Linked DNA regions of Daphnia pulex. The protein of the gene in region 3 interacts with the protein of the main gene of each other region in a pairwise test. Links are inferred from orthologs where the notes say so. Each region holds a gene or a part of one and is shown on either strand. Other genes may lie near its edges.

Region 1 (4,326 bases), on a different chromosome or scaffold from region 3:
ATACGTAAATGTAGTACTTTGTACAGGCGCCGATCCGAGGGGATCACTGCTGTAGCTGTAAGGCATGGGCGCATAACCGGTTGGATAATAAGGTATGTGAGGGGTAGCCCCACCGGCTCCTGTAGCACCAGGCCCACTACCCCAAGGAGTCGGCAACGGCAACGGTGCGAGCGTGTCTCTATCGGCTTCCGATGTCGTGTCATCAGTCAGGCGAAGAGCCGAAACACCTACAAGATAAAACCCTTTCATCAAACAAAATATTCTATAACCCGATAAGTCTCAAATGTCAACTCACCCAAACACAGGTCTCCGAACACGTAGTAACATTGTTCAGAGAATGTGTACTTGTTTACTGTATGTCTGATGTAACCGTTTCGCAGAAGCTGGGAAGCCAACTTGCGGGCATCACGCCGCTCTTCTAGTCCTTGCACGCGATTGTGAAGCCAGTCGACCACTTCTGATCCAATAAACGCACTTGGAATTACAATTTTTAACCAAAGGCGATCTCTAACTTCAAGTCCGGAATCTGGGCGCGCCATCGCTCGCACAATTGCGAGCATGTCTGAGCGCACTGAAAGCGGTTGGGCTTCTTCAACTGGACCTGTGACAAGTAGTACTTAGTCAAAAGTTCTTTCGGTACATTTTCTACGTGACAACTTACGTTCGGTTTCTGGCATACTCGACATCATTGTTGTGGTGGTTGACGACATCGTCGCCACAGATGGCGGACGATTCGGGTACTGCGTTCCACCTAATATGACGTTAGATTTGTTGTTGGATGCCAATTTATGATTTAAAATACGACAATCACCTCTTGCTGCTTCCGTGTGAGCAACCCACGCACCGGGATCAATAGGGCGAACAGGTTCCGTACGGGGTATAGTGAAATATCCTTTTGGATTAGGATCCCAACACTTGGCGACTACAAGTTTGATTGGGCTGACACATGCAAATAAAAAACACAATGTACTAAATGTTAAGTTGGAAAACAAAAAAAACAGTTATGCTTACCCAGGTTTCTGGACAACTTCTCGTAAAACGCGAACGGCATCGTCATTTGACATATTTTCAAAGTTAATATCATTGACTTGAAGGATCATGTCACCAGGCTCGATTCGACCATCCAAAGCGACAGCCCCACTAAATAATAGCAATGATTTTCATTTGAAATTACCACAAGAAATATGTCAGGTTCATCTGTGTTTATACCCTTTCATTATGGATCCTACGTAAATTCCACCATCACCACCTTGATGACTCTGGCCGACGATGGAAATTCCTAAAAAGTTGACTGTGTCCATGTTGAGGGTGACAGTGATTATGTTGAGTGACATAGTGGAATCCGTGATACTGGAGAATGATGAAGCTCGAGATGAAAGAGGAGGGAGGCGGGGACGGCGACGATTACGTCTCCGATTGCGACCTTGGCGAGACACACTAGTGTGATCTGCAAATTTCAAAATATGCAAAATTTTCAATAAATCCAGAGTTATTATAACTTTGCTTAATACCCGTGGTCGTTGTGATACGTGAAGATGCATCTTCTTCAGAGTCAACGAAGCTGGTCGACTCTAAATCCGAGCTGATCATAGAAGAGGATTCATATTCGTGTCCAGCTCTGTGTCTCATAGCGTTGTGGCCATTTCGAGGAGCTTGAACTAAAGAGACAATCGGATGTTAATCGAATATATAGTAAGATAAGACATTCTACATGAAAATTTAGTGAAGCAACAATCTACAAAAAAAGCCATGCTAACAAACTCACCATCAAAGCGATCATATTTTTCATAAGTTTCACGATGCACACGGCCAGAGCGGGGCAATATGTGCCTCTCTTCATGGCAAAACATAAAGAACAAAAGAATTGCAGAAGATAACGAAAAATGAGATGCAACAGGACAAAGGTAAACACATAAACATAAAAATACAGCATAAGGAAATAAAGTTTACCACTGTGTCTTGAACTAATGACCGATTCTGTCTCAGTAGCTGTTGTGTATTCCTCAGCCATACTTCTGTTATGGCCAGGGCTAAAATCAAATGACGAGTTAATTACCAAACTTTACAAGCAGTGAAAATTTGTAAAGAAAAAACTCACTGGAAAGACGGTGGTCTCCCATCAGTAGTGGCAGTACTCTCAGCACATTGAGATACAGAGTCTGAAATGCTACTTTCAGCTGATACTAGCTACAAAGTGAAAGAAACATTAAGACATCTTAAAATATTCATCAATATAATTTAACTTGTTACGTTTACCCATGATATGACTCTTCCATTGAAACATGGAAGGTGAGCATCGTCATCAACAATTTCTTCCTTGACAACACTAGAAACATAAACAATAAAGAGAAAACAATGCTTACACTTGCATAAAAAAATAACTACATGGACAATTATCATGTAACACGTTATTGCCACTTGACAACAACAAAAAAAAAACGAGAAAAACTGGTTTTACCCGAAATCGTCGTCCATTGATTTGAAGAAAAATTTGTAATTTGGACGATTGAGAACATTCTTGAAATCGGCTAGGGTAACTTGATCGGGAGATATTGTAAGTTTAACAAGATAGGGAGTTTCTTCTTCGTCAATGTGGTAAATAATCTTTGTTTCCGCCATTAGGAAACTGCGTCAAGAGTCAACGACAACAAACCAATCGTTTTGACAAGATTACAAAAACGGGTAGGGCGTCAAAAGTTACTATCTGCGCAACATGAAGAGGACTGAATAGTGAATACAGACTTTTCCCCTTTCCCTCAGGCTGTTCAATATGGCGAGGCTTAAAGTCTTGTGAGCCTCCAATTGGGCGTCCCGGTTTTCCCAAAAAATATTAACGTCAGCCGACAGATGGTTTTTCCGACCCGCTATCCACAGCGTAGCCATCTACTGCTCACACTGCACACTACTTGCTTCAAATTCAAATCTGGCAAAAAGGGGGGATCTTCAAAAAGGGCTGTTGTTCGTGATTTTTGTTTCATTTAAAAAAATAAAATAGCATATAACGTTGAATAACTCGCTAACGGCCGTGATATATTAATAATACAATAATCATTAATCATGGTGAATTGGTGATCTTACTATCGTATCCATAGTAATATAATATAATATATATTAATATTTATTCATAAAATAATAATTAATATGTATTCTAGCTTTGGTTATCATGTAAGCTGTAAAGATTCCTTAAATTTTCGATTGCTTTTAGGTTGTGGTATCATGGCAAAAGGGCAGCAAGCTAGTAGCCAGTAGTGATGTTTCGTTAGTGCTTTTTCTAAACGTTAGCGTTATCCGTTAAGTTAACGATGTCTCATTTTTTCACGTTCGTTAACGCCGTTAATTAACGCCGTTAAAAATGTCTCCGTTAACGAAAATTCGACGTTATTTTTACCGTTATTTAATAAAAAAATTGCACTATCAAATCACTGAAATCAGTCACGGTCTTGATTACTTATATTTAAATTGCTGCTGGCGTTGAACAATGTCACAATGAAGCAATGATCAACTAAAAAAAACAGAAACTGCGGATTAAATAAACGCACAGACAAAAGAAAAAAAAACAAGTTCCAACTAAAAAAGTAAAGGCCTCAATAAATCCTTATTGCAAGTGAGGAAGACTTTTGCGGCCAAAACTTCTTCCGCCGTCCTATTTTTGTGTCCTAGACAGTGCCATCCGGCAATGGAAAATTCGCGTTCAGATGATGCCGAAGAAACTGGTATAACCAGTAAATTATAGGCCATTTTGGATAATTAGGGGAAACGACCAGACAAATCCTTCCAGTAAGAGATCACATCTTGAACTGGTGGATCCTTAGAAGGATCAAATTCATGACTTGCAAAGTGGAAGTTGTCTAAAAGTTCAGTTTCAATGCAGTCGAGGGAAGTGGCTAGAAGGTAGGAGCAGTCGAAATCAGGATCTCTTTAATCTGTCATGAAATTAAATCTTCTTTCGAGATCTTCTAACATCGCAGATGCCACGCTTATTCACCGTCAACAGGAGCATCAGAGTCTGAATCTGACATTAAAGATTTACACTCTGATTCTAGTTGTTTCCCTACTCTACTTATACAGTTTCGTTTGCCACGTTTTGAAAGCAAAAAAAAACCTCAGAGAAGCTAAGAAGACTACTGCTCACTGTCATTGGCTATTTAAATTCGTTTTCATAGTCAACCTACTACAGTAAAATGTTGGAAGCGCGCAAAAAATACAAATTTCATTTTGAAAAATCCAAAAATTTCATATTTGGCAGCGCTGTTAAAAACAAAAATAACGTCTGAAAATAACGTCTGAAAAATGCCAAACGTTAGCGTTATCCGTTAAGTTAACGAA
Region 2 (3,650 bases), on a different chromosome or scaffold from region 3:
TCAACACTGTACAAAATCAATTGTTATTAATTAATTATTCATATTATTATAAGGCAGTTATAGCAATCATGGGAGGGAGACAAAATAAACGAACGAACAAAAGATGGACCTCTCGTTTTGTCGTGGAGAAAATGGGGGAGGGGGGAAACACACACGCATTCAAGACTCACAAAATAAAAAATAGAAACGCAAAATGAAAGGGCATAGTGATATAAACATTCCCATCCTCATTAATCCGTTTTTTTTCTTTTATGGTAGACGACACACGTTTTCACCGAGCCCGGGAATCACAAAAAATAAGGAAAACCCACACAAAATTGGAAAATTCTTTTCTTTTCACAAATTTTTTTTGTCAAAGAAAAGAAAAGAAAAATAATAATTAAGGACCATACCGGAGTGAAACGAATTCAACAAAATTGCAAATAATTATAATTCTAATTAATTAATAATAATAATGGTATTACAAAAAAAAAAAAAAAAAAAAAATGGACGAAACAACAAAAACGAAATGCTCGTTTTCTCGTTCGATCTGATCCTTCGAAAGCCCCCAAAACATCGAAGCCGCTCCTCCAGATATTTTCTTTTTGCATAATTAAGCAGCCAAAGAACGCCAGCAAAATACTAGATTAGGAAGAAGACACACACATTTACACTTACACACCCAACACGCACTCCAATCACACACCAAAATATAATCGAATCCAAATAATAAATTGTTTTGGTAAAAAAGAGGGATGGGGGTGTTGACAAAAAAAAACGGTGGAACGCTCAACGAATAGCACGGCTTTCGTCACGTTAATTATGACAAAGTTCAAGACGAAAAACTAAATTGTGTATCATGGAACTTCTGTTTCAACTATGGATATAATACGATAGTGGAGAAGGGTTATTAACGCATTGCAAAATTGACCAATAATAACTGTGTGCCTTTTTTCTTTGTTAATTATTTTTTTTGTTTGTTTCTTGATCTTTTTTCGATTGGAGAGAGAAAGGAAATTTATATGGATACTATATCCAACCACCAAAGCTGAGAAAAAAGAGAGAGAGATATAAACGGTAGTTTCACATCGATTATCACTGGAAATCAGTCGATCAGGTAAATTAAAAAGGAGAATCGTCACACAACAAATCTAAGTCAACACGCCCAGGACACAAAACAACATTTTGGAATTGTAGGGTTTTTTTTGTTTTGTGTCGGAGAAAAAAAAAAAAGAAAAACAAACTAACCAAATATTTCTTCCGGGCCGTCACAAAAAGTTTCTCTTTTTTGTTCCTCTCTAATTTCACATTGGCTGGTGGTGTTGTTGCTGTTGTTGCGGCTGTTGTTGATGATGCATGTGTTGGTTGTCGTAGCCGAGTGCCATCGGATTGACGGCATTGTTAGATCCGGCTACAACCCCGCGCTGCAAGACTTCCTGGGCCGGAGGGCAATGCGGCCTCGGTCCAGGCTCCGGTGTGTAGGTGAACGTCAACCTGGTGGCGTAGATGACACCGTCACTCCTCACCAAAGATATGGGAACCTACGAAAAAAAAATGACATCAATAAATCTGGAAAAAATAAGAAAAGACAAAACGGAATGAAAATGAAAAGTACCTGAGTCGGTCCGCGGACCCACTGCCAACCGGAACGGAAAGCTGAAATATCGGGCACGACGCACAGCATCGACTCCTCACAGCGGAACATGGTCTCGGCCTCCACGTCGCCAAACCACACTTTCAAATTGGGTGTCAGATTTTCGCCCATCAGCTCCAACATGGCCACATCGCCGCCACCGTTCAACTATGAAAATACGAAAAGGCAAAAATTAAATTGACGGACTAGGACGGACTAAAACAAAAAAATATGGTTGACGTCGGCACTAGCGGGATTCTTTTTTTAATTTAAAAATAATGAAACAAAAAAAAATGTTTGGGAGGGAGGATGAGGATAGTTGTGGAAAATTGGCGTTCCGCTTTGTTGGTGCCATCCAGCGTTGATTGTAGTGGTCGGTTGGTTGGTGGTCAACCTGCGACGGTCAACGATATAACAAATGTGTGGGAAAAAAAACGAAAAAGAAGACCAAGTAAGAGTAGGAGGAGGTGAACGGGATAAAAGGACTCTGAACAGCAGCAGCAGCAGCGACAACAAATCGCTCGCATAGTTTTCCCGTGGGAACGCATTCGCCACCCAAATTGGATAATATAACAAGAAAGGAGAAGAAGAAGTGAAGAACGAAAAGAAAGAAGGAAGGAAGGAAGGAAGAAGAACATCAGTTGAAAAAAGAAGCTAACCCCTCCCTTGTCACAATTTTTTCGTCTCGGGGGCCGAGCGTGAGAAGGTCCGTCTGGCATTCTCACGCCTATTTTCCATCCTGCCCGACGCCATTGGGGCATTTCTTTATTTTTGTATCTTATCTCCTGTCGCTTAGCCTCCCGTCAAATTTTTCCAACTTTTATCTCATTGACGAATCGGACGCCAATAAAACAAGAAAAACGCAATCGACAGCTGAAAAAGGGACTCACGTGTAGCGAGTGGACGATGGGGACAGGGGTGACGGGACTGCGGACGGGTCCCATGCCCTCGTAGAACTGGTACTCGGCCTTGTCGGTGCTGATGATGGTCCAGGCGGCTCCGTCGTTGATCATTTCCTTGTTGGGCTCCTTGGGGCACGGCGTCGCCTGGAACTGGATGATGCGCTCCTGGCTGAGGCACAGGTACATCCGCTCCGTGTCTTTCATGTAGAAGGCGCACTTGTGCAGCTGCGAGACGGGGTCGTCGGCGTCCAAAACGGCCATCTGCTTGTCCACTTTGCGGATGATGAGCCGGGGTAGGGCCATGCCCGTCACGCTGCACACCAGCTTGACCGTGCTGCCGTAATGGATGTAGCCGTCGCGCACCGTAAACTCTTCCGACTCGGATTCGCTGTCGTCCACTGCCGAAACAAAATTGAAATCAAAACATTTTATTTTTGTTTTCAGTTAAGTCGAGAAACAAATGGCGGAATTTTTGTAGTAGATGCTCACATAAGTGAATGGTGAAGGCGCCCCATTGGGTGGAACTGGCGTGAAAATTGTTATTGTCCACGTGCAGGTAACGAGTGCTGACCGTTTGCGAGCGGAGTCGATTGAACAGGGCCACTTTGGTCCCGCTGGCGATGCACACTGGGAATTTTTACACAGTCAGATGTTAAGTCAATCGAGAACTGAAAAAATAAGAATCAAAACACTCACGATCGGCGTTCTTGAGCGACTGCTTCTTCTTGGACGGTTTGGAAATGACTTTAATCCGCTTGCTGTGGAAGACGCCGATATCCTGGCCGTTGCCGTAAAACATTTTCACCGACAGCATGAAATGCTTGCGCTTGTCCGAGTCGGAAATGAACAGCGTCTTGGCCGCGCAATAACTCTGCCAGAAATCAAAATTCCCAATGAATAAAAAATTCCGGAATTGGTTAAAATTTGAAAATTACTTTGCCGTTGAGGTCGAGTTGCTGCATGTCCTGATCAGAGTTGCCGATGCCGATGAAGGCGCAGAGCTGCGAGGCGGCTTCGGCTTCTGCGGGCGAGGCCCCGTTGGCGGCGGCTTCGCGCTGGATGGCCTCGCGCCTCCTCCGCCACCCGTCGCCGTAGAGGTAGATGCACGGCGGCGGGCAGAAGAAGCGCTTCTCGTT
Region 3 (3,650 bases):
TTACTGGAGGAAGACGGAAGAAAAAAAGAAACTCTCGACGTGACCCGTCGTCCAAGTAAACGGGCCCGCTGTTTTCTACGCAACAAACATACACACATACACAATCAACGAAAAAGCTGTTACATCTTACTCGAAAGTATCCTGTTGTGTGTATTGTGTGTGTGCAGTCGTTACGCGGTAGCTGGAATCGTCGTAGAGTGGCGCTGGCGACTCTTCCATTTCCAACAAGGGGCGAAGTGGGCGTGTCCTTCCGTCGACAAACACCAAAAGAATCCAGGCAAAGCTCCTCCCCCCTCATCCCACCCCAATCGCCCCTCGTGCCCGTCATGATGGTTGTGGCCACCACAGAGCGCAGGCCCGACCCGCGGCCGCAGAGCCATTAAAAGCGGATGCGTGCAGCAACCCAAACGACGATCGCTCATTGGCTCTCGCAGCCAACCCCCCGCCAAGGCGAGAGAGTAGACCCCACCTCTTCGACTCCGGCTGCTGCTGCTGCCGCCACCGCCGCCGCTACTACTACAACAACTACTACTACTCATACCCCCATTATAGAGGCCTCCGTGTCTTTGCCCGGCACCCTTTTGAGAGTCCCGCGTACAGCAGACGGCTTTAGTTGATCGCTATCAGCAGACTCCGACGCAAGCGTGTGCCCAGTGTGTCCTCTCCTCTCTTCTCTCTTCCCTTTGAGCGCGCGGGACCGAGTCCCATCACGGCACACAGTTTGAATAGTACAGTCTGCCACTCTCTCACTCAGTGTATTCCCTTCTTCTCATCAGTGCAGTCGTCAACGATTCGTTCGTTGAGTCAAAATCGGACCTTGAGTGTTACAAATTATTTTTTTTTTTTTCGTTTTTTAATTTGTGAAATTGGATTTGGTGTGGCGAATTAAAGTGAACGAATTTTTTTCGGTGGTGGACAAGATAAGACGAAAGAAAAAATTGGTAAAGCGAAAAAGTTGATCGAAAATGATGAACTCGTACTTTGAACAGTCCGGCTTCTACGGTGGACATGGACAGACGGGGGCCGAGCAGGCGTACCGATTCCCGTTGGGTCTCGGAGTCAATCCTTACGGGCCGCCCTCAGGCGGCGTGACCCGCCAGCAAGTCGATTCCTACGACCAGTCGACAGCGGCGGCTGCGGCGGCGGCCGCAGCGGCCGCTTCCTGCAAACTCTACGAGCAACAGTACAAATTGGACTGCAGCAAAGCCGACCAGAACGGCTACAGTTCGGCGGGCATCAACGTCAAATCCGACAACAATTCGGCCATCAGTTCGTGGGCGCAGGCGGCGGCGGCTGCGGCGGCCGATGCGGCCAGAGCGGCCCAGCAAGGTGGAGTCAACGACCGGGGTGTCGGAGTGGGTTCCGTCGGTCACGGACACAACAACATCAACAACCGAGGCGTGGTGGGCGGCGGCGGTGGCGGAGTCGTCGGAGGCGGCGGCGGTTACCCGGGCGTCGTGTCCAACGTCTCTGGCGGCGTCGGAGTCGGGCCGGAAGCGGCCATCAGCGCCGTCACCCCTCGCCCGGCCAACTCGGTCGGTCCAAACAACAACCCGTGGAGCCCGTGCTCCCTCAACGCCACCACAGCCGTTCAGGCGCCGGTGCCGCAGCACGGAGGCGGCGGCGGCGTCGGCGTCGTGTCCCAGCACAACACGCAACACTCGCAACAACACCAACACAACTCGGTTCAACAGCACAGCAACCACAACACGAGCGGTCAGCACGCCAGCCACGCCATTAGCCAGCAGCAATCGCCACAGAGTCAATCGTCTGCCCATACATTCTACCCGTGGATGGCCATCGCCGGTAAGTCCGCGCCCTCCCGCTCATTTCATTTTTTCCTTTTTCTTTTTCAAACATCGTAAATTACCGGGCGCGTCTCTTTTTCCTCTTTTTTTGAAAAATAAAATAAAAGACGAACGCGTGGGACATAATTTACGATCCGTTTTCACGAGTGTCATGAGATCGACAGCAACAAAGTCGCAAAACTGTGTCGGATCACGATTTTGTGTGTTTTCGACGGCCCTGTTGAACGCTTCTGACCGCTCCTGTGATGATGATGATGATGTACTCTTACGTGATGGTGGTGCAGGGGGGGCTGCTGGAAGTAGGGGGCGGAGCGCGTCATAACTCTTTTTTCTTTTTCGGCCGGTACAACTAGCGGAAAGAGACGGGCACGGCACACACACACATACACACACACACGTCTAAGCTGCATGATCCGAACGACTCGTCCTCGGCCGTGTCGCTCAACAACACGCAGACCCCCTTTTTTTTTCTTTCTTTCACTTTTGATGACCTCCATAAAAATTCGAAACCGTCGGACCTTTGCAATGGGCTCGTAACTTTCCTTTGTTGCCCGTCCAGTGGCAGTTGCGCAGTCTGCAGCACCCAAATCACATAAAATGTCCTGTTTTTTTAACTAGTCTTCCTCGTTTATGTTTGTTTGGTTGGTGGGGGGGTCGCCACGCCAATCCAATCCAGAGAGGGAAAAAGGCGTCACAGCAAAACAAATAATAATACTAATAAAAAAAGAACCGATGAAGGGGGGATATTCAATTCTATCCAACAAGAGAATCATAAAATAAATAAAAATTATTCTCCCTAAACCCTCTGAAAAAAAAAAACTTGATTATAATTAAGCGAAACGAGATTGTGAATTCGTGTTATCATTGTCTGGGTAACGGACCGATGGCGATTTTTTTTTTGTCCACTCTGTTTCACGAGAAATTTGTAAAACACACATTTTGTCCGGCTGTAATCCAAGACGACTAAAGAAAAAGAGAGAAAGGGCCTTGTCTGCTTAGTATGCAAATAGCTCTTTCTTTCTCTCTCTCTCTCTCTCGTTCACTATCTATCGGCGTTCTCCCCTTTTTTTCCTTTTTATCTTCCCTCTCATTCTCTTTCGTCTTCAGGTTGCCAGCTAGATTGTATGTTACAGTCGATAAGGCCGCAGAGATTACCCAATATGCCTTTTTTTTCCTTCCTTTTATTCTTCTTCTCCTCGAGGAAATAAATTCATCCTGTTGCTGCTGCTGCTGCTGTTACCACTGGGTACAGCGATAAAAGCTGAAAAAGAGAAGGAAAGAGAGATGGCCATTTCGCTCGAGCGTCCAGGAGTCCCGAGGCGTTGCGTGCGCAACAGGTCTTGCGGGATTAACGAAACAAGCTAGTATACGATTTATCAATAGTTGAAGATGGGTGAAAGAAGAAAAAATTTGCCTCTAGATACCTATTTCGAAAGCAAACACAAATAGCGTTTTGCCGTTCATTTCCAGGTAGATCAATTAAAAATGTGTAAATTGTTGGAATTTCTAAATACCCCTAAGACTCCCCGGGGATCGACACGGGCCGTTAAATGGTTCAGGTCATCAGAGAATGACATCTTAAGTTAAAAGCACAAGGTGGAAGGCTATTATATGTAACATCGTGTATAACGGCAGCTACGAGATTTGTTGAAGGGCGACCCAAAAAACTAAAAATGTTTAAAATAGTAGGCGGGAACCCCAGAAAAAAAAAGAAAAAAATGAAAAAGGTCTTTTTTTTCCTCTTTTCCTCAGGTGAGACATGCGGGGGGTCGGGACTGTTGGTCAGGAATGGCGGACCCCGTGGGTATCTGGGACGAAAACACTGGGGTTTTCATGTAATAA

What was found.
Region 1: the proteins of homeotic protein ultrabithorax-like (region 3) and segment polarity protein dishevelled homolog DVL-3-like interact in a two-hybrid assay, tested with the Drosophila melanogaster proteins (2 studies listed by BioGRID). The link is inferred for Daphnia pulex from reciprocal best matches to the Drosophila melanogaster genes Ubx and dsh.
Region 2: the proteins of homeotic protein ultrabithorax-like (region 3) and recombining binding protein suppressor of hairless-like interact in a protein complementation assay, tested with the Drosophila melanogaster proteins (2 studies listed by BioGRID). The link is inferred for Daphnia pulex from reciprocal best matches to the Drosophila melanogaster genes Ubx and Su(H).

The regions. Positions count from the first base shown.
Region 1 is NC_060018.1:12,878,437-12,882,762, forward strand, and holds the start of segment polarity protein dishevelled homolog DVL-3-like, read right to left. Parts: upstream 2,838-4,326; 5' UTR 2,620-2,837; coding exon 2,459-2,619; intron 2,327-2,458; coding exon 2,257-2,326; intron 2,188-2,256; coding exon 2,099-2,187; intron 2,031-2,098; coding exon 1,951-2,030; intron 1,835-1,950; coding exon 1,766-1,834; intron 1,659-1,765; coding exon 1,512-1,658; intron 1,448-1,511; coding exon 1,210-1,447; intron 1,141-1,209; coding exon 1,012-1,140; intron 940-1,011; coding exon 812-939; coding exon of another isoform or gene 752-811; coding exon 662-751; intron 602-661; coding exon 296-601; intron 228-295; coding exon 1-227.
Region 2 is NC_060025.1:8,027,456-8,031,105, forward strand, and holds part of recombining binding protein suppressor of hairless-like, read right to left. Parts: coding exon 3,450-3,650; intron 3,386-3,449; coding exon 3,211-3,385; intron 3,142-3,210; coding exon 3,004-3,141; intron 2,913-3,003; coding exon 2,503-2,912; intron 1,781-2,502; coding exon 1,595-1,780; intron 1,521-1,594; coding exon 1,284-1,520; 3' UTR 1-1,283. UniProt on the Drosophila melanogaster protein: Transcriptional regulator that plays a central role in Notch signaling, a signaling pathway involved in cell-cell communication that regulates a broad spectrum of cell-fate determinations.
Region 3 is NC_060024.1:12,346,320-12,349,969, forward strand, and holds part of homeotic protein ultrabithorax-like, read left to right. Parts: 5' UTR 1-965; coding exon 966-1,806; intron 1,807-3,650. UniProt on the Drosophila melanogaster protein: Sequence-specific transcription factor which is part of a developmental regulatory system that provides cells with specific positional identities on the anterior-posterior axis. Binds the consensus region 5'-TTAAT[GT][GA]-3'.